Linked DNA regions of Drosophila melanogaster. Each later gene encodes a partner of the first gene's protein in a complex. Each region holds a gene or a part of one and is shown on either strand. Other genes may lie near its edges.

Region 1 (8,389 bases):
TGGACACTCTACACTCTGCTCGGATTGGTAACGTTCCTAGCAGTCATCTTATGGCTGCACCGACGAACGAAACACATCGTCCACATCCACGAGGATCATCACGTACCAATCTACGCGTCATCCATACCTTCGCTATGGCCGTCACTTCGAACTGGGGGGGGAGGAGTTACCACCCCACCCCCTAAACCCCCACGCCTCTAAACAAATCATCGGACACTCAACCGGGAAGACGGCAACTGGAACACCGCATCCGGCCGAATGCTGACATTCCGGCCGAATGCTGACATTACACAAAAGTCGCACTGCAACATTGTCCCCAGCTAGCCAGCCACATGCCGAGTCGGCATGTTCATTATGCTTACAATTAAGAACCTATGTACTTATGTATAAGACGAAAACGGAGGACTCGAGTAGCCACTCTCTGACAATAAACTTCATACTGATTTTGAACTTCAAGAAAGTCAGTCGTATTCTTTATTGGAAATCTTCACACTACAACTATCTGCTGAAACTTAAAAACCTTCATACATTTACACATCATATCTTCACAAAAGGCTCCACCCTCGATCACGGACTTAACTCGCGTGCCTCTCAAGTTCAAATTGCTCTCTCGCGCCGTCTCGCTCTGTCGCCACGCTCTCCGTCTCGCTCAGAGAAAGTTTGGCGTTTGTTATTGTTTCGTTATTTCGTTGGCGTCGGCCCTCTCCCCCCACTTATCCAACTCTCTTGCTGCTCCAAACTCTGCAAGAGAGTTGTAAGCAGACACATGAACAGACACAGAGGAATAAAGAGAGCGGGGAAGTGGAGCAGAAGCACGTTGACTTGTATTGTACGCATTGTCGTGTCGTCGTCATCGCCTCCACTTCTTCCTCGACTATTTCATTCGGCTTTTCTGTTTCATTTTTTCGGCTTCTGCGTCCCCTCTCATTCTGCTATCTCCTCCTTTCGACGCGAGATTCATTAAAGAAATATGCCAAAACGGAGAGACAATAGCACAATCACTAACTAGCTGGGCCGACAAACTAGTCGTCAGTCGTAGTCCCCGAGTCTTCAGTTTTCAGTCGCGGGTCTTGGGTTTTCTGTTTCGACTTTGGGTCTCGGGGAAAAGGAGAACCTGTTATGGGCCACAAAGTCACCGAGCCGCAGTCACAAAGCTACCCACAAAGTCACAGAGCAACAATCGCTGTGGGCTGCCACAAAGTCACCCGTTTTTACTGCTACAGTAAACACCCGGATTCTCCTACTTTCAGTTACTACAGGTTTATAGAAATAACAAGTATCGTGAAATTTACTATGTTGGAATGAACGTGTCCGAAAACTGAAAGCTACACGCCTCATACTAAACATTCTATTTAGATACTCCAAGAGCTAAGTGTCTTGACAATCCACATGTTTAAAATTTCAATGAGCATTTATAAAATGTATATTTATAATTGTGATAATTAAATGCAATACACAAATTTAAACGTTTTAAAAAATGGTCAGTGAATTTAACACTCTACCAAAAATTCAGTACCGTTTTGATTGCTTTAAAAACAACAAAATTACAATTTAGTGATTAAACTTTGGCTATTTAATGATTTGTTGGATATCAACATACCAAAAGATAAGTAAATTACTTATTAAACACTGAAACATCACAACATTCAAAATTTTTGTGCGTACATTGCCCCAATTTTATGTATAAATATTAAAGAAGAGAAGAGATTGCCAATTGACCCTAAGAATGAAATATGACATCATAATGTAAAACATTAGAAATGATAAATAGTTCAATATCTGGTTTTAACATATTTTCGTGTGGCTGCATTCATGTTAAGTTTCTGTAGGATATTTGCGAAGCTTCTGCAGCGATAACGACAAACAGCTGTGTCTGACCGGCAGCGCCTACATTTCGGCTACCAATCGATAAGAGTGTGAGATTACGAGCGAGAGAGGGGTGGGGAAGAGGATGATCCCATGATCGGTAATGTAAATTGTTGTTTCTGAGTGGGTGACACACCCCCGCAGGCCAATGAGCCCCCTCGAGAACAACCCCTCCTGAATCATCAACACTGACCTAGATACTGCAGCAAAAAAAAATAAAGCCCATTGCGAAAAATAAGAAACAATTGCCCAGAAAATCAACACAGTACTCACCAAGGCATAAAAGTTTGTGTGGCAATCCTCCAAACTTGCGCCGTTTGTCTGATGATTTTGATGCGTCATAGTTCTTGGCTTGTTTTCTTCGCACAGCAGCAGCACCTCATTTTCTCAACGTTGTTTGCTTATAGTGTATTGCTATTATTGTTATTTATCCGATGTGTTGTTATTTGTTGTTGATTTTGATACTCTGTAGTATTTTGCACATTTGCTTGCTGCTTTTTCTGCTCTTTTTATTTTGGATTTTTATTTTTTATTATTGATTCTGCTGCACGCACACAGCAATACTCTCTCACACACACACACAACGGTATAGGCACGGACACACACGCGAGAGAGACGACACACACGGATACACAAATAATGAAGAGCTCTCTTTCGTCTCGTTTCTTTACTTTCGATATTTTGTGGTTGTTGTTGTGGTGTTAGATTTTGTTTGTAATTTGCTATTTGATGTTTGGTTTTGATTTTTATTATGTGTATTTTGTATTTATCTGCTCTCTGGGGAGAGTATGTTAGCGTAAACGTTGCTTTGGCAATGAAACACACATACTGTAGAATTAAGCATGTTGCTTTTGTTGTTGTTGGTTAAAGCTGGAATATAAGAAGAATTAGACTTTGAGCACACATTTTTCCCGCTTGGCATATGTTTTCTTTTCCGAAAGAGATGCATTTATTAGTTAATTTTCTTATTGTTTTAACTTGCTTATTTGTTGCTACACTCACTCAATCACACACACACATCTAGATCACAATTACAAGGGTTCGTTCATTCGCTGTTTCATTCATGCAAAAAGAGAGCAAGCAGAGAGAGAGAGCGACTCAGAAATTGACTTTTTTCAGCCACAGGCAGCGAGTATACACCGCACACACACATTTACTTCTAGAAACACACAAACGACGATGAAAGTCGTTGGATTTTCGTTAATCGTTGATGTAGACAAAATAAAATAGGTAAGAGTTTTCGGCTGTATTCGAATTCAAACCCAACCAATTTATGTTTAATCAAAAAGAACTACACATTTATAGAGCGCAAATCAAGATGAGTAATCAAGGAAAACACCAACACATGCACTCGCACGTACTGTGAACACACAAAACTCGAAGCTGCGACTATTTTTTGGTTTCGAAAAACAACAGTAGCTCAAAATATTTATTAATATTTAATCTATTACTCAGGCTTGAATTTCTTGCGTTGTATTTAGTGTTTTTTGCGCACGAATGACGAGTCAGAAATTTTCGAACCGACTGCGAACGCTGGTCGCCACACACAATGGAAATTTTGCTCGCCTAGCTTTGAATCGGCCATATATATGGTATATAGCCAGTATGTAGTGTAGTTGTACCAGCGGCGAGTGGCGAGAGAGCAGAAGAGGGCGAGTAGCGGCCGAATTCGAATAGCGGCTTTTGCTCTTTTTGCTGAGCAGAGAGTGAGAGAGAGGAGAGAGGGAGAAAACAAGTTTTACCAGCTAACTGCATATGCATTGGTGTGCGTGTGCGTTAGTGGCGTCGGCGTCTGTTTATCTCGCTCTCGCTCGCTCTTTGTGCATCTCTTGGGGATGCAACCATTTTGAGCGAGAGGCAGACAGAGAGAGACCGAGCACATAGATCGATTAAATTAAGGGAAAAATCTCAAACTAAAACGAAACTCGAAGGAAATCCGAAATTCCATAAATTATGCACTATACAACACTACATAGCACACACACGCACGCAAATATGTAGAGTGCGAAACGTGATACATAGACGGGCAGCAGCATTCCTCTCACACACACACGCATCAACCATACACCTACATGGCAGAGCAACCACTTTCGTAGTTTTCCTTTCGCACCGTTTTCTCTGTTTCTGGGCAGTAATGTGTGTGTACACATCAAATTTTCTGATTTTTACTTTCGGCCACTCGAAATAGCCGGAAAAAAATGCCATCGATAACTAAAATCGCACAGTTGTTGCATATTCCTCTTTCTTACACTCTCCTCCTTTTCCACCTCTTTCTTTCAATCACACACACACTACATAGGCACACCGCCGGGGCAGCGACCGCTAGAGCAATTAAAAACCATTAAACATTTCCGCTGCCAATGCTTAAACACGTCTTGAAAATCATTTAATGATTTTGCGCCACAATTATTTGTCAAACAACGGCACTTGGGCATTATTATTTATATTTAATTTGCTGCACCTCTTGCACGCATACACGCATACAGCACACACGCACACCCTCTCACTTCTCGGGCAATCGCTTTTGCATTTGCATTTTTGATCACTTTTCTACGTTTTAATCGCCGTTTTTGATGTTCTTTCCGACTACCGATGTAAACTTGTCTTGAATCTTTACATTTTGTGCCACTTTATCTATCGCATTCGCATACGGAAAAATCTGCGATCGATTTTTATAACAATTCGCAACAAATATGAGGGAAAACTTGCCGTCGGCGGCAGAGCCAGTGTTGCCAGCTAGCACAGACAGAAAACTACTAAAGAGGTGGCACAAAAGCACTAATAAATACCACAGAACACTAAGTCTTCACAATGGGAAGTTCAAAATATACAACAAATTAATACTTCTTAATTTAGAATGGTATATTTTTTAAATTATTTGTTCTATGTCTTCAAAGGTATTACACATCTTATATATAAATAAATAAAGGATCTCTTAAATTTAATTTAATAACGGTTATAGAAACCTTTTAATGAAATGGTTTAAGTGGTGCGAATGCGTAAAGTGATTGGAATGAAGTGTAAAATAAAAGATATTTTTATTCTGTTTGAATCAATTCCGTCAACTGATTGTTTGATCCTTCTTAAAACAAATTTTTTTAAAGGTGAATACAAACTATAATAAATTGTACAATAGAAGAATTTGTAATCTATTAAAATGGAAACAAATAAGTGTTTTGTCACCACTAGCATCCAATTGCATCGCTAACACCAGCCACTTGTGTTCCCATCCCTAAGAGTGACCGTACTCCCCATGGCCAAAAAGTGTGCACCGAAGCGGCGCTGCCGTGCGAAAACCTGTTCCCGCTCAAGACCGCCGTTACACACCCCCTGCGCCGCCTCCTCGGAATTCCATGACACTGCGTGGGGCAATAAAAACAAACAGAACGCTTGGCGGCCACCTGAGAGCGGAGCAGCGACCAACTGTAAAAGTGGGCCGCCCGGGAAGAAGAAGAAGCAGCGTAGGCAGCAGGTGACGCCGACAGCGACGTCGGCAGAGACGCAAGCAGCGACGGACCTCGAAGATTTCACTTTTCGACGAACGATTTAACTGAGCGGAGCTAAGAAACGCGATTTTCATACAAGCAATTGAAAAAAATAGTCGTGTTGTAGGCGAAAATAACTAGAAAATGGCCATGTACCGCGCCAGTGGGTTAAGGATTATGCAACAGATGCGACGCAGGATTCCCGTCGAACTGCAGCCACTCCAAGTGGCCAAAGCTGCGCCTGCGCTGCAAACTTTCACTTCTCAGCGCTGGACTTCGACGACGACGACCAGTGGAAAGCATGCCAGTCCACAGGTTACGACCCCGCCCCCGAGACACGACTGGAATAGGGCGGTCAGCGAGGCGGAGCGCATCGTCGGCTATCCCACATCCTTCCTCAGTCTGCGCTGGCTGCTCAGCGACGAGATCGCCAATGTGGCGCTGCACCTGCGCAAACTGGTGGGCAGCGCCCATCCGCTGATGAAGACGGCCAAGTGAGTGGTGCTGAAGGGCTTATAGGGCGTTGAAATTTATGTGAATCTTCCGCTTCAGGCACCTGCTCTACAATGGCAAGAACACGATGCAAGCCTGGGGATTGATAGTGCTCCTGGTGTCCAAGGCCGCAGGACATGCACCCAGTGTTCCAGACGTGGAGCAGGACAAGAGTGCCGGAGTGCTGCACTCCCAAAGGGCTTTGGCCGAGGTCACCGAGATGATACGGATATCTCATCTGGTGCACAATGTAAGTTTTTGATCAAATGCATTCGAAAGTTACTCGTAAACTGAAAGTGGTTTGTATGCAAATGAGTTTAACTTTCCTCAAATTTAGTTGACGAAACTCAAGAAACGAACATCAATATGTCATTGGTCGAGCTGATGCCTCATAGATTATAAAAATATTTACACTTGGTCCCATTTTAGAGCGTGGTTAATCTGCAATCGAGCACGCAGGCTGGGCAGGATGTGGACACCTACGACGACATGTCGTTTGGCAACAAGATCGGCCTGCTGACCGGCGACTATCTTCTGGGCCATTCCAGTGCGGAGCTGGCTAATCTGCGCAACCAGGAGGTGGTGGAGCTGATCTCGTCGGCGGTGCGAGATTTTTCCGAGTCGGAATTCATTGGAGAGCGTGATGAACAGAACAACCCGCTGCCTTATAAGCCAGGAACCTTCCAGCGACCATCTCTCAGCGTTGGAGTGGATTTCAACGAGCACGACGTGATGACGCCAATGCCGATTGCCCAGGTTCTCGGCAATCCGGAGGAGGAATGGGAGTGCCGTAATATCCTTAATGCGGGTAGCCTGCTGGGCAAATCCTGCCAAGCTTCGCTAAAGCTGGCCGGACAGAGTGAGGAACTGCAGCGACATGCTTACCGCTTTGGCAAACATTTGGCGCTCGCTTGGCAGGCTTGCTTGGATGCCGAACCTTTTCAGTGCCCCCAACTGCCGCTAGATGTTACTTTCAGTCTGGTTAGTGCTCCAGTCCTATTCCACTTGGAGCACGACCCTGGCATGTATTCTCAATTGGAGGCTGGCAAGCAGTCGGTCGATAACATCGACTACGACAAGATCCACAAGGCCATTCTGGCCGGGCCGGCTTTGGCCAAAACCAAGGAACTGCAGCGGAAGCACACAGCCGCTGCCCTGGCCGTTCTGCAACATTTCCCGGCGACGGACGCTCGACAGGCTCTGGAGAACATCATTCTGGCCATGCAGGATCTTTGATCCCGAGCAGCAGTTACTGATTTTTCACGGGTTCAGGGCTTAGGTTAGTTGTATTTATTCCGTTGGGTAATTTTTCAGTAAAGCAGACGTTGTTGACTAATCTTTAATGATTCATTTAAAGTAAAGTTTAAATGCTTTATTTTTCTGAACTTCAAGTAATACTTGGTGCAAGGTCACAAAAATATATTTTGTAAATCGTCTTGTATCGCAAAAGTTCATTTTTATTATAAGGGAAAATATAGTTCGTCATAAAAAAGGTTGTATGTTCATATTTACATAACATAGAATTGGAGGATTTGGAAACATTCGAGACTGTAAGATTTTTTTCGCAGCCTTGAAATACAAGGCAAGAGTCCCAATTTGCAGCCAATAATTTTCCAAAAAAAATATCGTCACAATCAATGTTATTAGTTTAATTCCGGTGATATCTCAACCTAACGTAACAAAGCCATAATTTAACTAAATTATTAAGGTACATCGAGGGGCCATTTGAATCTAAGAAGCGGAACGTCTTTATGTGTGATTTACGCATTTTAACGACTGATGATCTTCATCAGAACCAGTTGCTTGCAGCGATCGTACTCGAAATACTGGGGGAAATCCAGAGGCAGGTGCTCCATGATCCACGGCTTGTTCACCGTCTGCCGGATGAGGTACTCATACATGGGAGCCACCGAATCGCAATCCTCCAGTGTGAACACATAGCGCTTCTCCAGTGCCATGTATATCGTTTTGGGTCTCCCAGTTTGGCGACCTCGATCCAGGAGGTTATCCAAGACGCAGATGAAGGCATCGGTTAGCGTATCACAGTAGATGACATCGGCAGCTAGGATTATATCGCTATTGTCTATGGCCTCCAGCAGATCCTGCGAGTGATCCTCTTTTGAGGCGAGAAAATCAAACTCCAGAACTGATATCGTAGCGCGGAGGAGTTTTGAATTTCTTTGGACATTGCCGCGGATCAGCTTCAGTATGCATCCCAGGTCCACATCCGTGCAATAGATCCTTCCGTTATTGTGTATTCCGGCGGCAATGCTGGTCAGGCCGACACCAGCTCCCAGTTCCATTAGGGTTTTCTGGGAAAACTCATCCTTTTTGGAGAAAAGGTAGTCTGCCAGAAGAAGGGCTCCTCGCCACACCTGCAAGCCCACCAGCCGGAGCTCCGTGGCCTCGGAATGTTCCAATTCGATCACGCCACGTTTCGGCCTTGGCACCTCAAGGTCGCCGTCTTTATCCGTCCTAATCCCCGCCAGCTTCTCCTCCGGATAGACGAAACGGAACTTCGACAACACCTTACCTCCATCGCGGGT
Region 2 (7,458 bases), about 11 Mb from region 1:
TCCATCTCGATATCAATTTGAAAGACTTTTGTTTAACTACATTTGCAACAATACAGGACGCTACGGCTGAGACGCATACGATTAATTATATTTTGTGTCGTACAATCAAATTCTCCGACCAGGTGCACATTCTTTGTGCTCTAAACTCAATTTGCAACAATAAAGTGCCCCTCGGCTTATCGGCTGTGTTCACTACTCGATGACGCATCTCCTTGGCGACGGTTTGTTTTTTGTGTTTAGTTGGGTAAATTCAATTAATCACGAGTGCTCCTCGCCACCCTGCTAATCAGCATCCACTTCTCACTCCGCACTCGCACAGCACTTGATAATTTGATATAATTTCGTTTGTTTATTGTTTTGGATGAGCTGCCCTCAGAATCGTCCATTGTCCGCTAGGTAAACATTAGTGATTGATTGATGGGTTGACATTGCTTCTAGTTATTCGATGGCTCCAGGTCCATGTTCTGGCCGGCGCTGGTAGACGGGGATGTGGTGGAGTCAGCCTGAGAGCTCGACCGTTTGGTCGAACTGCTCGCGAAACGTCCGGAGCTGGAAGCGCCCTGTGACGAGCCCGAGGGCCGGCTATCCGCACCCTTGTCCTCGTCGTCATCGTCGTCGTCCTCCTCCTGGATCAGTTTTCGTGCCAGTTTGACGGCCTCAAACTCGCGATAGTGGGCCTTACGGCGTCGCTCGAATTCGCGCCGCCGTTCTGCAAGCAAATATGTTTGAGCAATTGTTGGAATCTGAGATGTTCATGGTACTTACGTCGCTCCTCTTCGCTAAGGGGCTGGTCATCACCGGAGGAACCATCGTCCTCGATGCTCTCTGTCGACGGCTGTGTGTTAGCCGCTATGCGGAGTCTGCAAATTAGTATGTGTTTTTAGTAATTGTAAGTGCAATAATATGTAAACTACAAAATGACTGGCACGGCTTTAAAATAAGTCTTCAAATTTCAAAAAAAACTTTTTCTTTTCAAACAAATTATTGATTATGAATTTAGCTAGTTATATTCTTAAGAAATCTGAGGCAGTCATATTGCTCAATAATGTTGATATATTTGATTATCATTTTGCAAATCGTATAATTATCAACGATTGTTTAATCTCTGAATCTATAAGTCACATGTAAACAAACAAATGTGAACGGCGCATTTTCTGGAAATCAGTTTTGTTTGAAACTTGATACTCTGTGCTCTTGCCAAACCATTTAGCAAGTAAACAATAGGAAAGCTCCACATACTTCTCCACTAGCAACTCCGTGTCCAGCTCGTCCCTGTTCTCGTCGAAGCCCTCCGTGTAGTTGTACGGCGTTTTGGGCTCATCGATTTTCATGTGTCCGTAGTCCTTGTCGGCCGGATGGAAGGTCTGCATCACGTTCAGCTCATCGAACTTGGCACTTTTGCGAAAACTTTTTAAAAGGATGAAAAAGAAACCAATTAATAAGGGCTATTAACTGGGGTCATTCGATGACCTCACCTGGCTCCCGACTTGTCGAAGCTACGCGAAGTCTTTAGTATACCCTTGCAGGGTAGCTGTGGGCTGGGATTGTTCTGCATCCTGGCTATCTGTGTTACCTGTAACAATGGGCAAAGACCAGAGTGTGCTTTAGTTGCGAACAATGCACGCGGATAATTACGTCAGGCGGTTGGGAGTCATTGATGATTTCGTAGATTTTATGGTTGTTGTTTCTGTTGCTGCTGCCACTGTTGCTGCTGGACAATCGTGAATCACGGCGGCAGTAGCCGAACAGGCACTGAAATCGCGATGTTCGCCAGATTATAATGGCACAGGTCGCGGCGAAACCTCGTGCCCTTGGAGGGGTTGCCATTGCCGCCCACTGGGTGGCCACTACGGCCAGCAATGCCCCACCAACACCCCGCTGGACATCCGACGCATTGTTGTCGTCCGCCTCCGCCTGCACCACCGCCTCCATTCCGAATCCCACTTACTTGTGTGACTTTCGCCTGTTAACTGCAATTGCAACTGCGTTTCCGGAGGGCAATTTACGCCACAATCTTCAAGTTGGCAGCCAGCTGGGTTTTGGGCGAGGGCCACGATCTCATCGATGTCGCCAGACGGGCGGTTTTGATCTTAATTTGGAAAACGTTAGATTTGGCTCTTTACGCTTTAATGGTCACTGTGTGGATATTCTCTTCTAATTTGTATTGCAAAGCAAATGGCAAATCCGGTAAAATATTCTAACAAATTCTACTAGAGCTGGCAACACAGCGATGGCACCTTCGATTACATTTAATCGATACTTGCGTATCGTGACCCAAGCCGACACAAAAACATAACATGCTTTAAATAAATAGCTCAGACTCGAACCAATTTTAAAAATAGTTTTCAAAACTTCGTTTGAGAAATTCATTTTTGAGAGGAAAGAACATGCATTCAAATTTATTTTTGAATATCCTTCGGAAAGATATTTCAACGAATTTGAGTTAATTGGAGTTCACAAAATTAAATAAAGAAAACCCTGTCCATTAAAAATCAACGTTTTATATCGTACACTTTACTTGCTATTATCAAGGTCATTAAATTAAATACTTAGAAGGCTAGAAATTAGTAGGTGTTGTAGAAAAAATGCTGCATGTATCAGTCTCTCAGTTGAAGCGCTGGAAGTTCTGCTGCTGATTGAACATCATCTGTTGCTGCTGCTGCTGCTGTTGTTGCTGCTGCTGCTGTTGCTGCTGCTGCTGGTGGTGAAAATCTTGCTGGTTACCAGCTCCGGACAATCGAACTCTCTTTGCATTCGGCTCAGCGTTCATTTGCTGCTGCTGCTGCTGCTGTTGTTGTTGCTGCTGCTGTTGCTGCTGCTGTTGCTGCTGTTGTTGCTGCTGCTGTTGCTGCTGTCGCTTATTATCCGACTTATCTTCCTGGTCGTCGTCGGTGAGGAATTCACGCTTGGGATACGGTATGGGGCAGCCGGCGAACACGTCCTGCGTGGGCTGCGGCTCCTCCTGGAAGTACTGATCCTGCATGGCCTGTTCGGAGGTGATGCGCTTGTTGGGATCCATTAGCAGCAGCTTCTGCAGCAGGTGAAAGGCCTTGCTGTCTGGCTTTATTTTGTGCCTTTCCATGTATTTGGCCAGCGAGCAGGTGGAGTATGTGGAGCGTTTAAAGTCCTTTGTCAGCGTATGATGTTCCGGCATCTTCTTGATATCCTCCCAGTCCTTGTCCTGCGGAAAGCCCATCACATTGAAGATGCGGTCTAGCTGATCGTGATGGTACGGATTACTGGTCTTTATGTCCTCCTGGCGGCAATGGAAGATGGGCTCCGAAGTGAGTAGTTCGGCGAAAATACAGCCAATAGCCCAGATGTCGATAGCCTTGGTGTAGTGACGAGCGCCAAGCAGCAGTTCCGGAGCGCGATACCAAAAGGTAACCACCACGGGATCCAGATCTGCCAGCGGTTTCAATGGGGCATTGAAGAGCCGCGCGAAACCCATGTCGGCGATTTTTACGCGGCCCCTCTCGTTGCCATCGCCCATCACCAGGATGTTGGCCGGCTTCAGGTCACGATGTAGCACCCAATTACTGTGCAGATAGTGAATCCCATCCAGAATCTGATATAGCAGACTTTTAACCATACCGCGGGGAACCACAACCTGCTTTTTGGTGGCCTTAGCAGCCCGATGGAACTTAATGATGTGCCACAGGTCGTGCTCCGCATAGTCGATCAACAGGAACACCTTGCGGTCGTTGTGCGACAGAAACACCCGGATGAGGGTAATTACGTTCTGATGCTTCAGTTCGCGCAGCAATGCGATCTCGCGGCAGGCGGACATGGACAATCCGGTGCCGTCGATCTGCTTCAAGGCATATTCTTTGCCATCGCTAAAGAACATGAATACTATAATTATTTATATTGTTTGAAGAGCACCCGATGACCAGTTCACCTTGTCTCCTTCCATTTCGCCTTGTAGACGTGGCCGTATGTTCCGCGTCCCACCTTACAGCCCTCGTAGTTGAATAGGTCCTCCACTTTCGTACGCTCTATCTGCGTTTTCATCTTGAAATCGTAGTCCATTTTTACAAAAGTTTGCAAATTCCACAATTGTTTGTAAATGAAGATGCCGCCAATCAGCTGTCTCCCGATAACGATAACACAGCCTTAACCAGGGATGGAAAATGGGAACAGTGCTCGCCATACCTAGCTTTTTTTATAGCTAGCCTTTTAAAACAGAAAACATTTTTTTATAATTTTGTTTTTTTTAATTTTTTGTTTACTGTTTAAAAAATTCTATTGTATCCACAAACAAGCAAAGCCAGAAAAACTTTCTGTATATTTCATTCAACCTCGTAAAAAAAAAACTTGTTTCTAAAGAAAGAAAGAAAATAGAAATATAATCCCCCTAAATATTTTTGAATTCTGAACCAAATCAAATACATATATATTGGATGTTATATAGAAAAATAGGTAATCCAATAGTACTTGACAAGGTGCTTGTATAATCCTATCACAATAAAATATGAAAGCTCTATCAATAATAAACTCAAAAGAAAACGAAATCAAAATTTATCCATTGGCGATACGCTTTATTTTTCCCTTGGAAAATATCTATGTTTTTATTTTCGATTCTTTGTACCAACAACTTATCAGCTAGGCATGGTAAAAGTAAACTATAATTGTGTCCTTAAAATGCAAGTGAAATTATATGTATATGAACCACGTTGGAAACTCCAAACAATTTAAATTCATAGCAACATCTCGTCGTGTTTCTTTCTCCGTTTCGTATCTCTATGTACATTATGCAGATATTAGAATTAAGAAATGCACAAATTATTGGATTGGAATGCATAAACAAAAGGCAATATGATTGAACGCGGCGAAGGAAGACACTTTTCAATGCGATTGATGAACACTGAACTAAATATGGCAAAAATTAGATTATTTAACATTCTAGTTCTAGATGTAAATTACATGTGTAATTAATATGGAAGAGCTTTGGAAACAAATCGGTGGAAGTAAGTCGAAGCTAACCAAATCGTGTTTGTGTAACAATTAACTTGTTTTTCGTTTTAAGTTTAATATGAAATTAAATGCATTTAATAAATATAGGTGTGCGTGCGTATGTGTTTGTATATGCAAAATGGAAGTAAATTTGTTCTTAACAATGCTTTTTGTTTGTATTCTAGAATTTGCCGAATACATATCGTGTGTTGTTTAACATTAGCTGTATGACAGTTATATAAAGTAAATATACATGTAAATGTATGTTTTTTTCATGCTTTTCGCAGTATTTTTCTCGCGTTCAGATTGCGTTAGAATTATTTGCTTTTCGCGTGTGTCGCCTCTGGGCAAAACGCCTAGTTTAGTTGATTTTTTAGAAATTTTTGCTACGCCTAAATTAACTGGTATAATGAAGTTAATCATACACATGTACATACATACTGTGGGATATATATATACTCGTGTATCTGCTATTTACATCTTTTCATTTTCATTTCGCTACTCATCATCCCGCCGATACTTAACTTAGGCTAGGCTTTAAAAAATCTTAGCAGTTTCTGAGTTTTTAGTAGTTTAGGCTTATAAAGTTATCAGTTTTCAGTGGTTCTCTGCCCTCTTTGCGCTCACACAAGTATAGAAATGCTCTTTCCATATTGGGTATTTTGTTTTCGTGTAAAAATAATGTTAGCACATACAAAAAAATAAATAGGCTTATAAATATTTAGATTTCGTTTCCGTTCCTCTTGTTTTCTCCTCGTGTTGTTGTAGCTGGTGTAGGCGGTACCGTAAAAATCTGGTGTATAAAAACTGTTAATTAAAAAAACTTAGTCTAGACCTTTACAACGTTAAACTCGTAAAAATGATACAAAAAAAAACAAGAGCCTAGAAATTAGCACAATTAATCGTTTTGTACAGCAGCATCCTCTGGTTGCGTAGGAGCGGTAGGGGGTTGTGTTTGCCACATCGATGCGTATTCCTTTACCTGGTCGTGATAATGGCCCGCGGCAAAGCGAATACGCACAGCCTTGAACGCTAATAAATCGGTGGAGCTGGCTGCGATGACGATGTGGTGCTGGGCGGTGCGGCCACCACACTTGATGTGGTCGATGATGGACTGGAGGAGGATCCATTGCCGCAGTTATTGTTGTTCAAATTGTTGTTGTGGCGCTGCAGTTGATGGCTGCGCAGGGGCTGGAACTGCGACTGCTGTTGCTGGAGCTGCTGATGGTGCTGCTGTTGCTGCTGATGGAACGGCAATCTCTGCTGCTGATACTGCATGTTGTGCAGACAGTAGGCGTTCATGTTGCTCGTAGCTGGCTGATAAGGATACGCCCGAACGTTCTGCATTTGCGGCAGCACTGGCTGCGGCTGGAACTGCTGAAGTTGCTGCTGCTGCTGCTGTTGCTGTTGCTGCTGATGTTGCTGCTGCTGGTGATGCTGCTGATTCAACTGGCCGGCGGCTCGCATCATATGCCAATAGTTATCATCGCCAATGGGTGCCTGTCTGCTGCCGTATTTCAGTTGCCGCGTAATGCCCTGCTTGTAGTCCCGATGATCTCTATCGATGGCATAGGCCTTCTCTCTCAGCTTCTCAATCGTTCGCTTGAACTCAGCGAAGGCCTGTGGTGAATGCTTCTGCAGATCGGTGGCCAGCGGCACCAGAGGATTGTGCTGTTGGTGTTGCGTCTGCGACAGAGACTGGTGATAGGTGAGCGGATCTAGCAGTGACTCCAGCACACTCATGTTAGACATGATCAGCGTGTGGATGCGCTGCAGATCGAGCGCTGGATCCAGCGCCGTTACTAAATCCATCTGGAAGTAGTCCATCGTCTTGTCCAACACCTTCTTACAGCCCGGTGAATTCTCATCCGACCGGCCGCAGCAGCTGTAGAATCCACTTACAAAGGCCGAGGGATGGAAGTACTGCATCCGGATGGAGTTCATCAGACATATCTTGTGCAGCAGGTCGAACCACTCGCGCTCCTCCACGCAGTTCGTTGTCTGCACAATCAGCGAGCGATCGTTGTGCACAATCTGTGGGAGAAGAGGCGAAAGTAAATCTTAGTCTCATCTTTGTGCAATTAACATAAATTCTGTGCGCGGCGCAATTGCAAAACAATCGCACCCAAGTGAAATCGCTGGCTGAGACAATTCCCACATCTTGGCTGCGTTAAAAAATAAGAAAACGTAACGCCAAGAAATCGCACCCACGTTGACGATTCTCTTCTGCGTCGGCTGCATTGGTTTCTAGGTTTTGAAATTTCCCTTTTTTGCCTTACTACCTTCAAATGGCAATAACAATAGCGTACGCAAAGCGGAGCTCCGCCAGTTCATCTGCATAATAATGCTAATTATTTTTAATTGCCGCAACTTGTCATTTGCCACACAAAACTCTGTGAGTGATTAGTGAAAGTTTCGCGGGCAACTGACTGGAGGTTCGGTTTTCACTGTCGCCGAGGATGGGCCTGCCTGCTGCCGCCATCGATTAGCAGCCACTGCTCT
Region 3 (8,532 bases), 1.2 Mb from region 1:
TCACCCCATCACCCTTTCTCCCACCCACCCTATATCATTGTTTTTGTTGTAGCTGGCGCTCGTCACTCACCTGGAAACTGTAGTACATCTTCACCACCCACTGATGATCGGCCTCGACCAGGACATCGCGCTCGGCTCGTACGTGTGCCACCTGCTCCTTTTCCAGCATGTCCGCTTTGCGCAGCACCTTCATGGCGTACACATGTCCCGTGTCCTTTTTCTGCACCAAACGCACTTCACCGAACGCGCCGCGTCCGATGACTTTGAGGGCCTCAAAGTCCTCCACACCGAGGCGCAATCGCTTCAGCCGGAGATACTCCGTCTCCTTCTGGGCATGCTGCAGACGCTTCTCCTGGCGCTGCGCCTCCGACAAGCTCTCGTCCTTCAGCTGAGCCTCCAGCTTTGCGAGGCGCTGCTTTCGCTCGCCATACTGCGTCACCAGGTTGCTGTAGTAGTTCTCCAACGTCACCTTGGCCTTGGTGGCCTTGTCCAGTGTGTGGTCGCTGAATCTGATCGAGGCACCGTCCGCGTCCTGCGTTCTGCTGCTCATCATCTAAGCTGGGGTTTTTGTCCTGGTCACCTCGGTCCTATTTGGGGCTTGTGTGTGTGCTCCCTGCGATGTCGGTGCGTGTGCGTGTGTGTGGTGAGGAGTTATGCACTTGCCAATGCACACACACTGCTTTCTTCGCCCGTTTCTTGCCTTTTTCCTCGGTAATTTGTTGAAATTCCTCCCTCTGCTGCTTCTTCTTCAAGAGCCATTCGCATTTTGCATCCCCAACAAAGCAAAGTTGGCTGCGATCCAGTGGGGCTATCGATAGCTAATCGATTGATTTTAGAACTTTAGTGCTTTTGGCTCGCAGATAGTCATGACAATTAAGCTTTCACCGACAATTGTATAAAATTTATGTACTGAAATTACGTTACTTATTACTTACATTGATTTTTTTAATTAAAATTGATTAAATTTAAATTTATTTAAATTTACTTTAAGGTCATGTTATTATTTACTGTAATTCTATTAAGAAACAAAGCTTAAACAATAGTTAAAATATCTTAGCTTTAACCTTTTAGCTTGAATCTTGCCAAAAGACTCTTACTTCGAAAATTGTCATCACTGCCACCAGTCCAATTAGTAAATAAATAGAACTTACCGACTTGGGATAAATTTTTCCATGTCAGGCGTACATAAACCAGTTGCCTTTGCTAATCTGGCCATTTGGCGCCTGTGACGGTCCCGCGCAATGAGCATAGTCAGCTAATAATGGCCCGCATCACCAGTATTCTGGACTTGGACCCCAGTTCTCTGTTGTTCATCTTCAAGCTTCTAAGCTTGGAGGACCAGTTGCACTTGGCGCGATGCTGTCGCATTTTTAGGGATGCCTTTCTTCGCCTGCATCGCCATGATTTCCAGGATGTTGTTGACAAGGATATGAGTATAAGGACTCTGGAGGATTGGCGCACCTTTCTGTGGCTCTGTGGCAGTCGCATCGGTACACTGGAATCCCACTTTGACGATGATCACCCGCTGCAGCTGCTCCCGATGATCAGCAGACACTGCTACCGACTGAAGTCCATCTCTATATACAATGCAACAGTGGCACGGGCGCAACCGTATTTATTGAGGATGAGCTCCCTGGAAAAGGTGCACGTGCGTAACTACAAGAGCACCAGCAAGGATCTAATAAAAGCCATTGGGATACACCTTCCGCGGGTCAACAGTCTGAGCCTGGAGAGCTTTGAACGCAAGGAGTGTAAGAACTATTTAATGTTCACCTTATCACAACAATATTATTTAATTGCTTCTCCCTTCACAGTACAAGAAGTACGTCAGTTTAGCGAGATGCTGGAACTTGGCTTGTACGACGACGTGACCGCCTCGGAATTCGCAACAATTGTGAAACCCATGAGGAAGCTGCGATGCCTTCAGCTGCGCAACGCCAAACGCTTTCTGACTACCAGCAATCTCAGGATGCTGGCCACCAACTGCCGCCACCTGGAGAAGCTGACGTTCAATGACTGCGACGCCGATCTGTTGGTCCTGCCGCAGTTTGTAAACCTCAAGTACCTGCAATTATACTGCTCGGAGGATATGAAAACGCGCCTGTTCAAGGCACTGGCCAAAAGCCAGTGCTCCATTCAGTTGGAATACCTCATCCTGCACCGCAAACGCTGGATTGACGAGGAGCAGGCGCAGTACATCAGTGCTTTGAAGTGTCTCCGGTGGCTGGTCTGCAAGCCTCGTGACGATCTGTGTGTTCACCACTTGGCGAAGTTGAGTCGATTAGAGTGCCTTTCCATACAGTCCGCTCGTGAGATTGGAGAAACGCAGCTCTCCCTTTTGGTGGCCAACAATGAGCGCCTTCGGTATCTGAACATTTGCTATTGCCTGGGCATCACAGACGCCTTCGTCTTGGACACGCTGGCCAGCTTATCGAAACGCTCAGCTCATCAAACCCTAGAGCTATTTGCCGCGGCCACTGACATTAGGCATGACATCATGGAACGGGTGAGTAATATTTAAAGCACATACATATATTCGAAAGTCCTTATGTTAATGTGACACTTTGTGCTTCGTTTGCAGCTACCGCACGAATTTCCCCTGAAAATGCTCTGTTTGAACTTCGAGTGCAGCGATGGAATGACAAGCGGCGGACACTTTTATGCCGATGAGCCGGAATTCGATCGCCAAGCCTTGTGAGGCCTTATTCGTTTAACAACGAATGTTTCTTCAATCATTACCAAAAATACAACGTAAATTATTTAATATTTATACGCAGCTTTATTCGTGATCTTACCACTTTGAGTGGTATTTCTTTTGTTAGTGCACAACGATGTAACTTTTTCACTGCATAATTAAAAAATTACGTCATATTTAAAGTACTGTATCAGGTTGATTGGGGATGTGTGGCTGAACATGATAAGATTACATTTGTAATATTTACAACCATTTAACACTTAGCTTAAATTCGATTGCATCCGCTAGATTGTTCGCGGGATGTTATCGAACTATCGATGGCTCATCGCATTTTTTCGCCCCACCACTGATATTTTGATTTGTTGTTGGGTTGGCGAACAGAGGAAATCGGGAATTCGCTAAGAAAATCTGTTTATAAAACGCAACTAGAGGGCCGCGAAGATGCTGTCCATGCTGCAGGAGAAGCGTCCGCTGAAGCGCACCCGTCTGGGTCCGCCGGACATCTATCCGCAGGACGCGAAGCAGCGAGAGGACGAGCTGACGCCCACGAATGTGAAGCACGGATTCACGACGACGCCACCGCTGTCCGATGAATTCGGTACGGCCCACAACTCGAATGTGAACGCCAGCAAAGTGAGCGCATTCTTTAGCGGCGTCCTGGCCAAGAAGGAGGAGCTGATGACCCTGCCGGACACGGGGCGCAAGAAGCAGCAGATCAACTGCAAGGACAACTTCTGGCCCGTTTCGCCGCGTCGCAAGTGTACGGTGGACGCCTGGTTTAAGGACCTCGCCGGTAACAAACCCCTACTTAGCCTAGCCAAACGGGCTCCATCGTTCAACAAGAAGGAGGAGATCTTCATTACTCTGTGCGAGAACCAGGTGAACATGCAACGCGCCACCTGGTTCATCAAGCTGAGCGCCGCCTATACGCTTAGCTTCACCGAGTCTAAGAACAAAAAGCGATCCATTTACGACCCGGCTGCCGAGTGGACCGGCAACATGATCAAGTTCATGAAAGAGCTGCTTCCCAAGCTCCAAGAGTATTATCAGCAGAGTGAGTACAGTCCTTAAGTTCTATAATCTATCAACTCCCTTATTCAACTTCTTGATTTTAGACCACGACAAGTCCTCTTCGAATGGCACCACTTCCGGAAGCCTGACCGCCGCCGGTAATGGTCCTGCCAGCAATGGCTCCACTGGCACCAGCTCTATTAACTCCGTCACCGGTAGCAGTGCTTCCACGAACGTAATCCCGGTACCCAGCATGGCCAGTCCACTGCCACCGATTCATAGCCCAGCTAATGGCCAACAGGCAGCTCCTGGCGGAGGAGTGAATGCCGGCAGTGTCATGCCGACGACGGGAAGCCTTGGCGGAGTAGTCGGTGGGCCGGGGTCTTCTGTGGTAGGAGGCGCAGCGGGTGCAGGAGCTGCAGTTCCACCAGGCTCTACAATTTCTGGAATTGGAAGCCAGTTCGAAGATAGTCGCAATGCGCTTAAGTATTGGAAATACTGCCACCAATTGAGCAAGTACATGTACGAGGAATCACTTTTGGACCGACAGGAATTTCTAAACTGGATCCTCGACCTTTTGGACAAGATGCGTACGCAGGCAAGCTTCGACGAACCGTTGAAGAAATTGGTGCTCAGCTTTGCCCTTCAGTACATGCACGACTTCGTCCAGTCGGAGCGTCTTTGCAGAAAGATGGCCTACATAGTGTCCAAAAAACTGGCCCAGTTGCTGAACACTGTCGTAGAACAGCAGACCATCAAAGAGTTGGACGAGCCGAAGTTGCAACAAGATCCCTATGAGCTGGCGCTTCAGGAACAAATGAGTTGTCCCCATCATCGGGATATAGTGCTGTATTTAAGCACGATCCTACAGATCATCACAATCGAGTGCCCCACAGCTCTGGTCTGGAGTGGGATAGCAGCTCACCGAGCACCCTCCTCGTTGTTGGGTAGTCCGCTGGACCATTTGCCTTTGGCGCCCTCAGTCTTGCCGATGCCCACACGCTGTCCGCGAACCAATCACGAGATTCGACGTCAATTGCGGGCCGCCGAGTCGGACATCGTATTGCGCACTCAGCATGCAGAGCAGCGCTGGTTTGCAGCCAAGTGGCTGAGTGCCGGCAAGAATCAATACACCAGTGTGCTGGCTACACTGGACCACTTGGACACGCACTGCTTCGATCGCATGGAACACAATAATAGTATCGATACCCTATACGCACAAATATTTCCCAGCCCAACTGTCAGTCGCAGGCGGGAGGAGGATCAGGTGGAACCTCGTCCGCCTTATGAACCCAAACAAGACAAGGACACGGTACGCATTCTGTGCGAGTGGGCTGTGTCGGGGCAGCGTTGGGGAGAACACAGAGCCATGGTGGTGGCCATTCTACTTGACAAGCGCCAGATCGACGTGACAAGCACGCCGGCGGATCAACAATCCAGTGATAAGGATGACAAGGACTCGCTAGCTTCGGGCGCCGGCTTAATTGATGGCCTGCCTGTGTTTCAGCACGTGTTAATGCACTTCCTTGACCACGATGCTCCCGTCCTCGATGAGCACGTGAGCAGTCCACAGCAGCGCACGGAATTTACCAACCTTGTTCAGCTGTTCAGTGCATTGATTCGCCACGATGTCTTTTCGCACAACGCGTACATGCACACTCTAATTTCACGAGGAGATCTGCTCCTGGAGTCGGTGCTGGTGATCAAATCAGGAACAACGGCCACGAAAACATCGCCGCCACCTCCAGCTCCACCACCAACGACGACGCACGGTTTCGATGATGACGGATTCGGCGGGGGCCTGGACTTCAAACACAACGAATTTGATGATTCCAATGTGGACGACGATTTGGACAAACTGGTGCAAAATATTAAGGAGAAAGGACAACAGCACGAAGCTCCAGACAGTCCCAAGATTGGTCCTCCAGGCGATGGAGAAACCAATCCTGGCGGTAGCATATCGCGGCATTACGTGTACACCAAGCACTTCCCCATCCCCCAGGATGATCCCAGCATGAGCAGCTACAGCAGTGAAAGCAACCAGCGATACATCCTGCTCTTCGGAGTCGGCAAAGAGAGGGACGAGAAGAAGCATGCTGTCAAGAAGATGTCTAAGGAAATTGGAAAGCTTTTCACAAAAAAGTTTAGCATAGATGTGGCGGCGGCCGGTCATGTGAAGAAGCACTCGCGCAACGAGTTTAACTTCGAAGCTACCACGTCCAAGTGCCAGCAGATGGCTTATTTCGACCAGCATGTGGTCACAGCCCAATGTGCGGCCAATGTCCTGGAGCAGCTGAACGGATTCGCGTTAGGGAACAACAACTACCTGCCGGTACAGGAGCACGTGGCGTTCCTCTTTGATCTGATGGAGCTGGCTCTTAATATCTACAGTCTTTTGGAACTGTGCGATAGTCTGTTGAAGGAGTTGCCTGAGGTGGAGCACCAGTTGCAGCTAAAGAAGTCAAACCTAGTGCGCAGTTACACCACTTCACTTGCCCTCTACATCGTCAGCATCCTGCGGCGCTACCACAGCTGCCTTCTTCTTTCACCGGAGCAGACGCTGTCTGTTTTTGAGGGAGTCTGTCGTACCATTCGGCACGTATCGAATCCGAGTGAGTGCACTTCGGCGGAGCGCTGCATTATTGCCTACCTGAGCGACCTACACGAGTCGTGTGTTTTGCTCCAGGGAAAGGAACAATCCACGGAGTACTACCAGCAGCTGCAGTGCATCAAGCGGTTCAAGGACATATTCAACACTCCAGAGCAGCTTGAGTGAGTTTAGATCGCAAGTTCTTCCCCAATAATATAATATATAATATTAACAAATATTACCATTTTTTATTTAGCCTACCACCTCAGGGTTACAACCCACTGTTGTTGCAGGAGCTTTTCATGGCCCCTCGACGCGGTGGTAAACTGGATCCTCACTGGCTGGGAACCCTGCACGAGTCGCCGGCCAATGTATACAGTTTCGTGTCTAACGCATTAATAGCCGTCTGCCGAGAGACGGACAACGAGCGGCTGAACGATGTGGCCCTCGCATGTGCCGAACTGACCGCCAGCTGCAACGTCTTGTCTGAGGAGTGGATATACGCACTGCAGAGTCTGTGCAGCGGCAGTAAGAGTCCGCGTTATCCGCACCTGGGCGGACAGGTCGACATTGGACAACTTAAGACTCACAACGCCCTGGCCGTGTTCGTATGCATTCTGGTGGCCAGACATTGCTTCTCACTAGCCGACTTTGTAAGTAAGTTCGCCCTGCCTACATTGGCCCGATCGGTAAGCGCTGGTGGAGCCGAACTGAGTGTAGATGCAGAGGCAGGTGCTCGTCTTACATGTCACTTGGTGCTGAAGCTGTTTAAGACCTTGGAGATTCCTCAACCTGGCATGTACTCGGTAAGCACTTCCCCGAATCCACTGCACGCTGTGGGAAACGACTTTAGCATTCGGCTGAGCTGCGATCGTCATCTTCTGGTGGGTGCCCATAAGACCATTCCCATTGCCGCAGTGCTTGCCGTGCTCAAGGCCATTCTCATTGTTGTGGACAATGCGGCGCTTAAAACACCATTGGCTTCCGGCAGCGGCACCTCCTCTGGCGGATTGGGCGGAGCTTTTGGAAGCGGCAAGCGTAGTGGCTTCAATACACCGGTCCATCCGGGAAGCACACCCAAGAGCAACGAACAACGACCGGCCGATCTCAGCCAGATCCTGGGCACCAGCGATTTACAATTGGGCAGCAGTTTGACAAGCGAACCCGAAGCCCTGCAACAGCCATCGGTCGGAGGAATGGAGCAGATCTCGCTGTTGGAGTTCGCCCAGGCGGTGCTCAAGCAGATCTGCGCCCAGGAACACGTTCTGGAAAGATGCCTAAAGAACGCAGAGCAACTCTGCGACATGATAATCGACGAAATGCTGACCGCGAAACAGGCACAGCGGGTTCTGCACATGATCTGCTATCCGGAGCCTGAGTTTAACATCATCTCCGAACTGGATCAGCGCTCAATGATCGTACGCATACTAGAGAATCTCGGACAGTGGACACTGCGTATCTCGTGGCTGGATCTTCAGCTTATGTACCGCCAATCGCTGAGCAACAACGCGGAGCTTAATGTTTGGCTCGACACAGTGGCACGCGCGGCAATCGACGTCTTCCACATGGAGGAAGTTGTCCTGCCGGGTGCCGTGAAGGCGACCCACAAACCCAAACCGTCCACCTGGCTAGTGGCTCCACTCATCGCTAAACTAACACCAGCGGTGCAGGGCAGGATACTTCGAGTGGCTGGTCAGGTTCTTGAGAGCATGAACTATTTCTCCAAGGTGTCCAAGTCCGATTGCAATAGCTCGGGCAGTGGTGACGAGCGCGAGAAGAGCAACAGTTGTCACAGTAGCAATAGCTATGGACTGGGCGGCGTGCCCGCACGCAACAAGAAGATGCCGCTTGATTATCAGCCTTTCCTGGGTCTCATCCTAACTTGCCTGAAAGGCCAGGACGAGTACAAGGAAAACTTACTGGTTTCGCTCTATGCCCAGTTATCACAATGTCTGCAATCCTTTGCTGAGGTGAGTGTTTACTTTCTATCCTTAAAGTTAAACTTACTAGTAACATGACTCCTTTTAGCTGGACACAATCGGTGGCATTGATGAGCCGCAGGCGCGCGAGGAGATCCTCGATGCGCTGCAGTTGCGCTTTTCGCTGGTGGGCGGCATGTTCGAGGCTATCCAAAAGAACAGTACCCCCACCACAGACTGGGCTATTCTTCTGGCCCAATTGGTTTGCCAGGGCGTGGTAGATCTCAGCTGCAATCGTGAGCTGTTCACCACCGTTG
Region 4 (7,277 bases), on another chromosome or scaffold:
TGCCATCAGAGCTGGAAGCACTGGCTTTTGTTTTTGGAACTGCTCCTCCGGAGGCTGAAACTTAAGCAGCTCAAACTCGTAGGGATGCAAATAGGATTGGACATTGCCGGCATCATCGTATTCGGGCAGCAGGGCCAGCGGTTTAAGAGAATTAGGTTTCTCCTTGAGTCTTGGAACAAACGGATTCTGGGCACTGTTATCCACCGGCTCCCTAAATTGCGTCTGCGGCCGAACGATGTTCTTGGCGGTGAAGAGACGAGCCGAAACCATGCTGCGTTGGGGTGTTCCTGTCGTTCTGTTCCAGCTGCCTGCCTTTGGAGTCCCTTGGGTTTGTGGGGAAGCTACTGCGGGCTCTATGGATGTGGAGCTGCTCATCACGTCCACCTGGGCCTCTACGACCTGTTGTGTATTTCTTCGCAGACCACCTTTAATGTCTAGATTAGTCGTAATGCGCTCGAACAGTACGTCGTTGCACTCCTGCACCATCTCAAACTGCTCTTCCGGTTGGCGTCTGTTTAAAGAATAAAGATCTATTGTTATTTACAGATACAGGTACCAACTTTGATTTCAATGGCTGTGCTGTATTTTCAACATTTCGAATAATGTCATGGTTAGAAGCTTACTTTTTGATGTCGCCCTTGATGTCCTTGGAGTGCAGCACGTTCCCGATGAGCGCCACCACCCGTTGGGTCAGGTCTTCCATAACACGTGCGTAGCCTGGATAGCTTAGGTAAAGGGCGCGGGCTGTTCCTTGTGGGAAAGCATTAGCGGCTTTTGTGGCGGCGATTGCATTCTTGAACCCTTTCTGGAATGTCAGAGCAGAACACGTAGGGATTGGATTGAAATATACTTATGTACGCTGGCTGAATTGCTACCCACGTTTGTGAATGCCTCAACATCTTCTGAAGCGGATTTCTTTGGCGGCTGGTCTGCTTGGGCCGATTCCTCTTTGGCCTCCTGGTGAACTCTTTTCGGGGTTCGCGGCATGTCTGTATAGTGTTTCCTTGTCGAATGTCTTGTGTTATTTTCGTACAAATTTTTTGTCGTTTTACAGATTGTGGAAAATGTGCGTGTTTTCTCTTCTTCTTTTTTGAGAATAACAACAGCTTGAATTTGGAGTTTGTCAACACTACCGGCGGCGAAATTTGATCACTATATAGCACTAAAACGGTGCTGACCGCAATCGAATTAAATCGATATGAAGGTGTATTTTACAAATGTTAGCCAAATTTGGAATGGTGATATTTCGTTATGTTAAACCGTAAACAGAACCTGCTTTGATGAACAATACTTTACAAATTCTTTTTAAAAGCAAAATGTTATTATTATATTGAACTAAATATATATTCCTTTCAATATAAATTAAACTGAATAAATATTTTCTTTGTTAAATATTTGGTCTTTTCTTTTATTTTTTCAAGAGGGCGCTAAATTGTTCAAGTGAAACCCTGAACAAAATTTTCAGCCAGCTGATTGCCAGTGTGTACACCCCTCCGGCGCCGGCGAAAAGCGAGGAGCTTGACCGAGAAGCATCAACTCCATCCAGAAGAAGTGGAGTTACGTGCTAAAAAAAAAGTAATTATAAAGCCTAAGTTTAGTCCAATTAGGAGGTAAAACACGCACAAGATGCTGGACCTATACAGACGCACGGTGGCGCGGTTTCCTCTGGGCAGTGTCAGCTATATGTTCGCCTACGGATCCGGCGTCAAACAGCAGGAAGGCTATGGAAAAGTCGGCAATGGAAACAACCTGCGTCCTCCGCCGGGAACCGTTGTGGATCTGGTCTTTTGCGTTCGTGATGCTAGGGGCTTCCATGCGGAGAACCTGCACCGTCATCCGGACCACTATTCCGCCCTTAGGCACCTGGGACCGAACTTTGTGGCCAAGTATCAGGAGCGTTTGGGTGCGGGTGTCTATTGCAACACGTTGGTGCCTCTGCCAGATGTGGGCATTACCATAAAGTACGGCGTGGTGTCGCAGGAGGAGCTGCTGGAGGATCTGCTTGACTGGCGGCATCTTTACTTGGCAGGAAGGCTGCACAAACCAGTGACGAATCTGGTCAATCCTTCTGATAATCCTCCCCTCAAGGCTGCGCTGGAGAGGAATCTTGTATCCGCGCTGCAAGTGGCTCTGCTACTTTTACCAGAGAAGTTCACTGCCTACGGACTTTTCCACACCATCGCCGGACTGAGTTACAAGGGCGATTTCCGTATGATTTTCGGGGAAAACAAACAGAAAGTGCACAACATAGTTAGTCCGCAAATCAATGACTTCTTCGCCCTATACCAACCCTCCCTGGGACAACTTTCCGACTATGTGGCGGTAAACATGAAGGGCCAGGAACCAGGGAGCCGGAAACCAGCCATAATCTTCGAGCAGGACAAATCCTCATCGGCTACATGCCAACACCTGCGACAGTTGCCCCGAGAGCTTCAGAAGCGATTGCAGCGAAATGCCGCCTGTCGTGGCGACTACACCCAGGTGGTGAATCACCTATCCATGGCCTCCCAGCTTCCGGAGGTGCTGCAGGCATCCGTCAACGACATTGTGTGGCGCAGCAGTGTCACGCAATCGATCAAAAATATTCCCAGTGCTGGCATTCTCAAGTCATTGGCGTATAGCTATCGCAAGGCTCAAAAGACATTCGCTGTTTAGGTTTATTTTTCGGGTTAATCCCCTGGCTGCCAATCATTCTACCGACTAAGTTGTCCCATCCAGCTGCATTTTGTTAAATACTTTTAAGCTTTAAAGTTGTTAACTGCAATATAATGTTTAGCCCAATCCAAAGACCTGAGTTTTCTTGGGGATTCTCTCTTTTCACATCCAATGGACCTCTTTATAACCTCAGGAATATCTTGGTTTACTTATTATTTCATTAATTGTATTTGCAGATCATGTCCAGCGACGACAATAGTAGTGATAGCAATTCGTCCAGCGATGAAAGGCAAAGGAAACGGAAGCTTAAGAAGCACAGCAAAGATGTGGACAAGTCCAAAAAGAAGAAGTCGAAAAAGCACAAGAAAGAAAAGCGTCGCCACAAGGAGAAGAAACGCAGCAAGCATGAGGAGGAGCCACCTGTGCCTTACACGCAACCTCCACATTTAATTAATGCATCTCCGCCAGATGTGGCTACAAACAACGAAGATTCCTTTGGTCCCGCTTTACCGCCGCATTTAAGGAAGACCCAGCAGCCGGAACTCCCTGAGCAAAGCCAACCAGCCCCACAACCGCAGGCCATGATAGGACCCGTCCTGCCCAGCAATTTGACCCGGGAAAAGTCTCCTACTAAGGAAGCGGAAGCTGAGGACGATGATGACCTAGCTGGCACCTTTGGTCCTCTGCCAAATGCCAGTCAAGTGGCTCTGGAGGAACGTGCTTTGGCACTTAAACTGGCAGCTCTGGAGGGCGGGGGATTGGGTACATCTACAGACCAAGATGTCCGCGAAGAGTGGATGCTTGAGCTGCCAGATGTGGGACTGAAGAGCGGCCTTGCCGCCCTGAGCAATATGAAGCGCACTTTCTATCAGGGAAAAGAGCGACCCGACTTTAGCGATCGATCATCCTGGACGAAGACCCCGCAGAGTGAAGCGGATGCTGCTGCATCGGGCCCAAAGTCGCTCAGTTCGAAGGAACTCGAGCAAATGGCACAGGTCAAGTACGAACAGCAGCGGGATGACGAGCAGGAGAGCATGGCCAAGAGGCACAAAAAGAAGCACAAGCGAGAGGAGTCCCTAGTGGAGCTACATCAAAAAAAGCTTAGGAAAGAGCAGAGAGAAAAGGTACGAGGAAAAATATTTCTTAAAAACATAATATGGATATAATATTGTTATAAATTTAAGGAAAAAGAACTGGCTGCATCGGGTTCCAAGCCAGAACGAAGACCTTTTAGTAGGGATGTGGACTTGAAACTTAACAAGATCGACAAGAATCAGACCAAGCAGATTGTAGACAAGGCCAAGATATTGAACACCAAGTTCTCCAGGGGTCAAGCTAAGTATCTGTAGGTTAAATGAACCATAAAAAATCCAGACGATCCGTACCGCATGTTAATCTTAAGCAATTATGTAATTTAATTTAGAAATAATTATTATAAAGGCAAAATAATTTGTAAATGACATTTTTGATTGCTTAGTCACCTAGCTTAAACTTTCGTTTAATTGGCATAAATACATTGGTAATATGAGTACAAACACACAATTGGGCAATACCAGCTAATGATGAATGATTATGAAGCTCTTCTAACGCTGAGGCGGTGGTTTCGGTTTCGGAATCTTGGACAGCAGCATCTGAATCTCGTCCTTTTCCTTCCAGTCCTTCCACAACTCGTACAGATTTACAATGGCGCGCACGATCTCCTGGACCTTGTCTAAATCAACATTCAATTCTGCGAACCACTGCTTCGTGGCGTCCTTTTGCAGGATGACGCAGGCGATTTGAAGGCAGGCTATAGCGATCTAGAAAAAAATAGGTTCTTCAAATGTGAGGAAGCTGTAGAAATTATCAGGATCACAAACCTGGTAAGGAGGATAGAGCAGGCAGACATCGGTGCGCAGGGAATCGTTTACGATACGCCAGCTCAGGGTGAGCAACTGGTCCTCCTGGCCCATGTCCTGAACCAGCTGCAGCAGCGGTCTGTACGGCTGGTAGACAATCAAGCAGCAATCCAGGTTCTCCAGCAGGTAAAACTCGCACTCCAGGATGTGATTGGTGCGGTAGGGAAACTCCTGAGCGTACGCATAGCTGAACTTTGTCTTAATGGCCGACTGGCAGATCGAGATCAGTCGTGAATTGGAAATGACACCGAACTCCTCCACCTTCGAGGCCAGCAAGATGCAAGTGGGCGCCAGCAGCAGAGGATCGATGTTCTTCAGGGAGTTCCTCGCATAGAATCTCTTGAAGTAAACCGTCGCCGTGGCGATGACCTGTTGCCTCAGCTTTAGCTGCTCGCCGAGCACCTGGATCACATTTGCGAAGAAAATAAACACCTTTTGGTATTCATCCTCGTTAAGGGCCAACAAATCGTGCTGACGCTCCCGGAGCAGATCGGGTTTGTCCAAAATCCACTGCTGCGAGTGCGAACTCTGCCAAAAATTGCCCGCCATTTCGTAACTAGTAGGCCTAGCTGATTAGGTCGGCCAATATTTTCGTGTTAGCTATCCAAATTAGGTGTTTATTTCAATAGCAAGCCGGAAAACCAGGAAAAACGAAAAAATTGTGTTGCCGTTTCAGCCAGTGTGTGCACACCAGGGCTATTTTCCACGAACAGCTGACTGGCCGCAGCCAACTTTGCGCAGCGCAGTACATTGGTGTGTGTGTGTGAATTTTTCATCAGCGCCGCGGCCACAGACGAAAAAGTCTTAAATATTTTTTAGTAATAGGCTATTGAACGAATTAATAAAACGATGGCGTTGCGAGTTCTTGGCGTGACGCAGAATATGCGCTCCTTCATGCGGGGCGTTGACATGATCAAAGTAAGTCCAGACAGCCATCCAATGATTACGCTTCCGAGGATTTAAATTACGTAATTGTAAATGATTGTGTTTTTGGTTGCAATTGTGGTTTATTCTTGTGAGAAAAGGGATAAACAACCTCTTGTTGGTCAGTTATTCAAGAGCCATCCAGTTTTTCAAACAAATATTTGGGAAAACTGTTTGGAAAACCCACTACAAGCACTTTGAGGTTATGTTCGTGTTTTACTTAACTCTGGGCTATAGTTTTCCCAATTTTCCCGAACTTACAGCGATACAAGTCGGCTGCCACCCTACAGAAGACTCTGCTGAACATACCCGCCACCCAGGTGACCAAGCTGGACAACGGTCTCCGCGTGGCTAGCGAGGATTCCGGTGCCTCTACCGCCACCGTGGGACTGTGGATCGATGCTGGGTCGCGCTCCGAGAACGAGAAGAACAACGGAGTGGCCCACTTCCTGGAGCACATGGCCTTCAAGGTTGGCTCACTAGCTTGATGCTTTAAATGCGTATAATATGCGTTTCTGCCACTTTTTAGGGTACCGCCAAGCGCTCGCAAACGGATTTGGAGCTGGAGGTTGAGAACCTGGGCGCCCACTTGAACGCCTACACTTCCAGGGAGCAGACCGTCTTCTACGCCAAGTGTTTGTCCAAGGATGTGCCCAAAGCCGTCGAGATCCTGGCCGACATCATCCAGAACTCCAAGCTGGGTGAGGCTGAGATCGCCCGCGAGCGTTCGGTGATTCTGCGCGAGATGCAGGAGGTGGAGAGCAACCTGCAGGAGGTGGTCTTCGATCACCTTCACGCCACCGCCTATCAGGGCACTCCTCTGGGCCAGACCATCCTGGGACCCACCAAGAACATTCAGTACGTATATTCAGCTCTTATAACAAATGCTCTGTCTCTAATTAAAATCTTCATTTATTTAGGTCCATTGGCAAGGCCGATCTGACCGACTACATCCAGACCCACTACAAGGCTTCGCGCATCGTTCTGGCCGCTGCTGGCGGCGTCAAGCACGATGATCTGGTCAAGCTTGCCTGCAGCAGCTTGGGTGGCCTGGAGGCCAGTGTGCTGCCCGCGGAGGTGACTCCCTGCCGCTTCACCGGCTCCGAGGTGCGTGTGCGCGACGATTCCCTGCCCCTGGCCCATGTCGCCATCGCCGTCGAAGGCTGCGGCTGGACCGACCAGGACAACATCCCCCTGATGGTGGCCAACACCTTGGTGGGTGCTTGGGATCGTTCCCAAGGCGGTGGCGCCAACAACGCCTCCAACCTGGCCCGTGCCAGCGCTGAGGACAGTAAGTGTACATCAGTAAGACGACCAGGATATGGAGATTATTAACTATTATTGCCCTACAGACCTTTGCCACAGCTTCCAATCGTTCAACACATGCTACAAGGACACCGGACTCTGGGGCATTTACTTCGTGTGCGACCCTCTGCAGTGCGAGGTAAGAAGAATTAATGATTCAACAGAAAACTCTCGAGAGAAAGCAAATTTTACGTAAACAAACCTCTTCCCCAGGATATGCTCTTCAACGTGCAGACCGAGTGGATGCGTCTGTGCACCATGGTTACCGAGGCTGAGGTCGAGCGCGCCAAGAACCTTCTGAAGACCAACATGCTGCTGCAGCTCGACGGCACCACACCCATCTGCGAGGACATTGGCCGCCAGATCCTGTGCTACAACCGCCGCATCCCGCTGCACGAGCTGGAGCAGCGCATCGATGCCGTGAGTGTGGGCAATGTGCGCGACGTCGCAATGAAGTACATCTACGATCGGTGCCCAGCCGTCGCTGCCGTGGGT

What was found.
Region 2: skd (region 1) and Cdk8 share a complex: the UniProt entries of both Drosophila melanogaster proteins name them as parts of the cdk8 module of the Mediator complex.
Region 3: skd (region 1) and kto share a complex: the UniProt entries of both Drosophila melanogaster proteins name them as parts of the cdk8 module of the Mediator complex.
Region 4: skd (region 1) and CycC share a complex: the UniProt entries of both Drosophila melanogaster proteins name them as parts of the cdk8 module of the Mediator complex.

The regions. Positions count from the first base shown.
Region 1 is NT_037436.4:21,022,813-21,031,201, forward strand, and holds the start of skd (skuld), read right to left. Parts: upstream 4,623-8,389; 5' UTR 4,328-4,622; exon of another isoform or gene 4,116-4,327; intron 3,393-4,115; exon of another isoform or gene 3,318-3,392; intron 2,737-3,317; 5' UTR 2,209-2,736; coding exon 2,140-2,208; intron 1-2,139. Other genes in the region: Pdss2 (decaprenyl diphosphate synthase subunit 2), read left to right, coding at 5,496-5,845, 5,904-6,093, 6,273-7,079; CG10584 (uncharacterized protein), read right to left, coding at 7,613-8,389. UniProt on the Drosophila melanogaster protein: Component of the Mediator complex, a coactivator involved in the regulated transcription of nearly all RNA polymerase II-dependent genes.
Region 2 is NT_037436.4:9,834,574-9,842,031, forward strand, and holds Cdk8 (Cyclin-dependent kinase 8), read right to left. Parts: upstream 4,098-7,458; 5' UTR 4,033-4,097; coding exon 3,902-4,032; intron 3,840-3,901; coding exon 2,606-3,839; 3' UTR 2,507-2,605; downstream 1-2,506. Other genes in the region: I-2 (Inhibitor-2), read right to left, coding at 435-709, 766-860, 1,240-1,407, 1,476-1,573, 1,636-1,932; RasGAP1 (Ras GTPase activating protein 1), read right to left, coding at 5,989-6,990. UniProt on the Drosophila melanogaster protein: Component of the Mediator complex, a coactivator involved in regulated gene transcription of nearly all RNA polymerase II-dependent genes.
Region 3 is NT_037436.4:19,833,540-19,842,071, forward strand, and holds the start of kto (kohtalo), read left to right. Parts: upstream 1-3,074; 5' UTR 3,075-3,136; coding exon 3,137-3,749; intron 3,750-3,810; coding exon 3,811-6,478; intron 6,479-6,552; coding exon 6,553-8,266; intron 8,267-8,324; coding exon 8,325-8,532. Other genes in the region: trc (tricornered), read right to left, coding at 71-553; CG32221 (uncharacterized protein), read left to right, coding at 1,262-1,751, 1,815-2,506, 2,582-2,698. UniProt on the Drosophila melanogaster protein: Component of the Mediator complex, a coactivator involved in regulated gene transcription of nearly all RNA polymerase II-dependent genes.
Region 4 is NT_033777.3:14,884,956-14,892,232, forward strand, and holds CycC (cyclin C), read right to left. Parts: upstream 5,251-7,277; 5' UTR 5,103-5,250; coding exon 4,515-5,102; intron 4,455-4,514; coding exon 4,239-4,454; 3' UTR 4,049-4,238; downstream 1-4,048. Other genes in the region: Rrp6, read right to left, coding at 1-511, 624-805, 880-987; CG33331 (uncharacterized protein), read left to right, coding at 1,627-2,655; CG33332 (uncharacterized protein), read left to right, coding at 2,895-3,779, 3,840-4,004; UQCR-C1 (Ubiquinol-cytochrome c reductase core protein 1), read left to right, coding at 5,403-5,471, 5,741-5,947, 6,007-6,335, 6,398-6,768, 6,830-6,921, 6,996-7,277. UniProt on the Drosophila melanogaster protein: Component of the Mediator complex, a coactivator involved in regulated gene transcription of nearly all RNA polymerase II-dependent genes.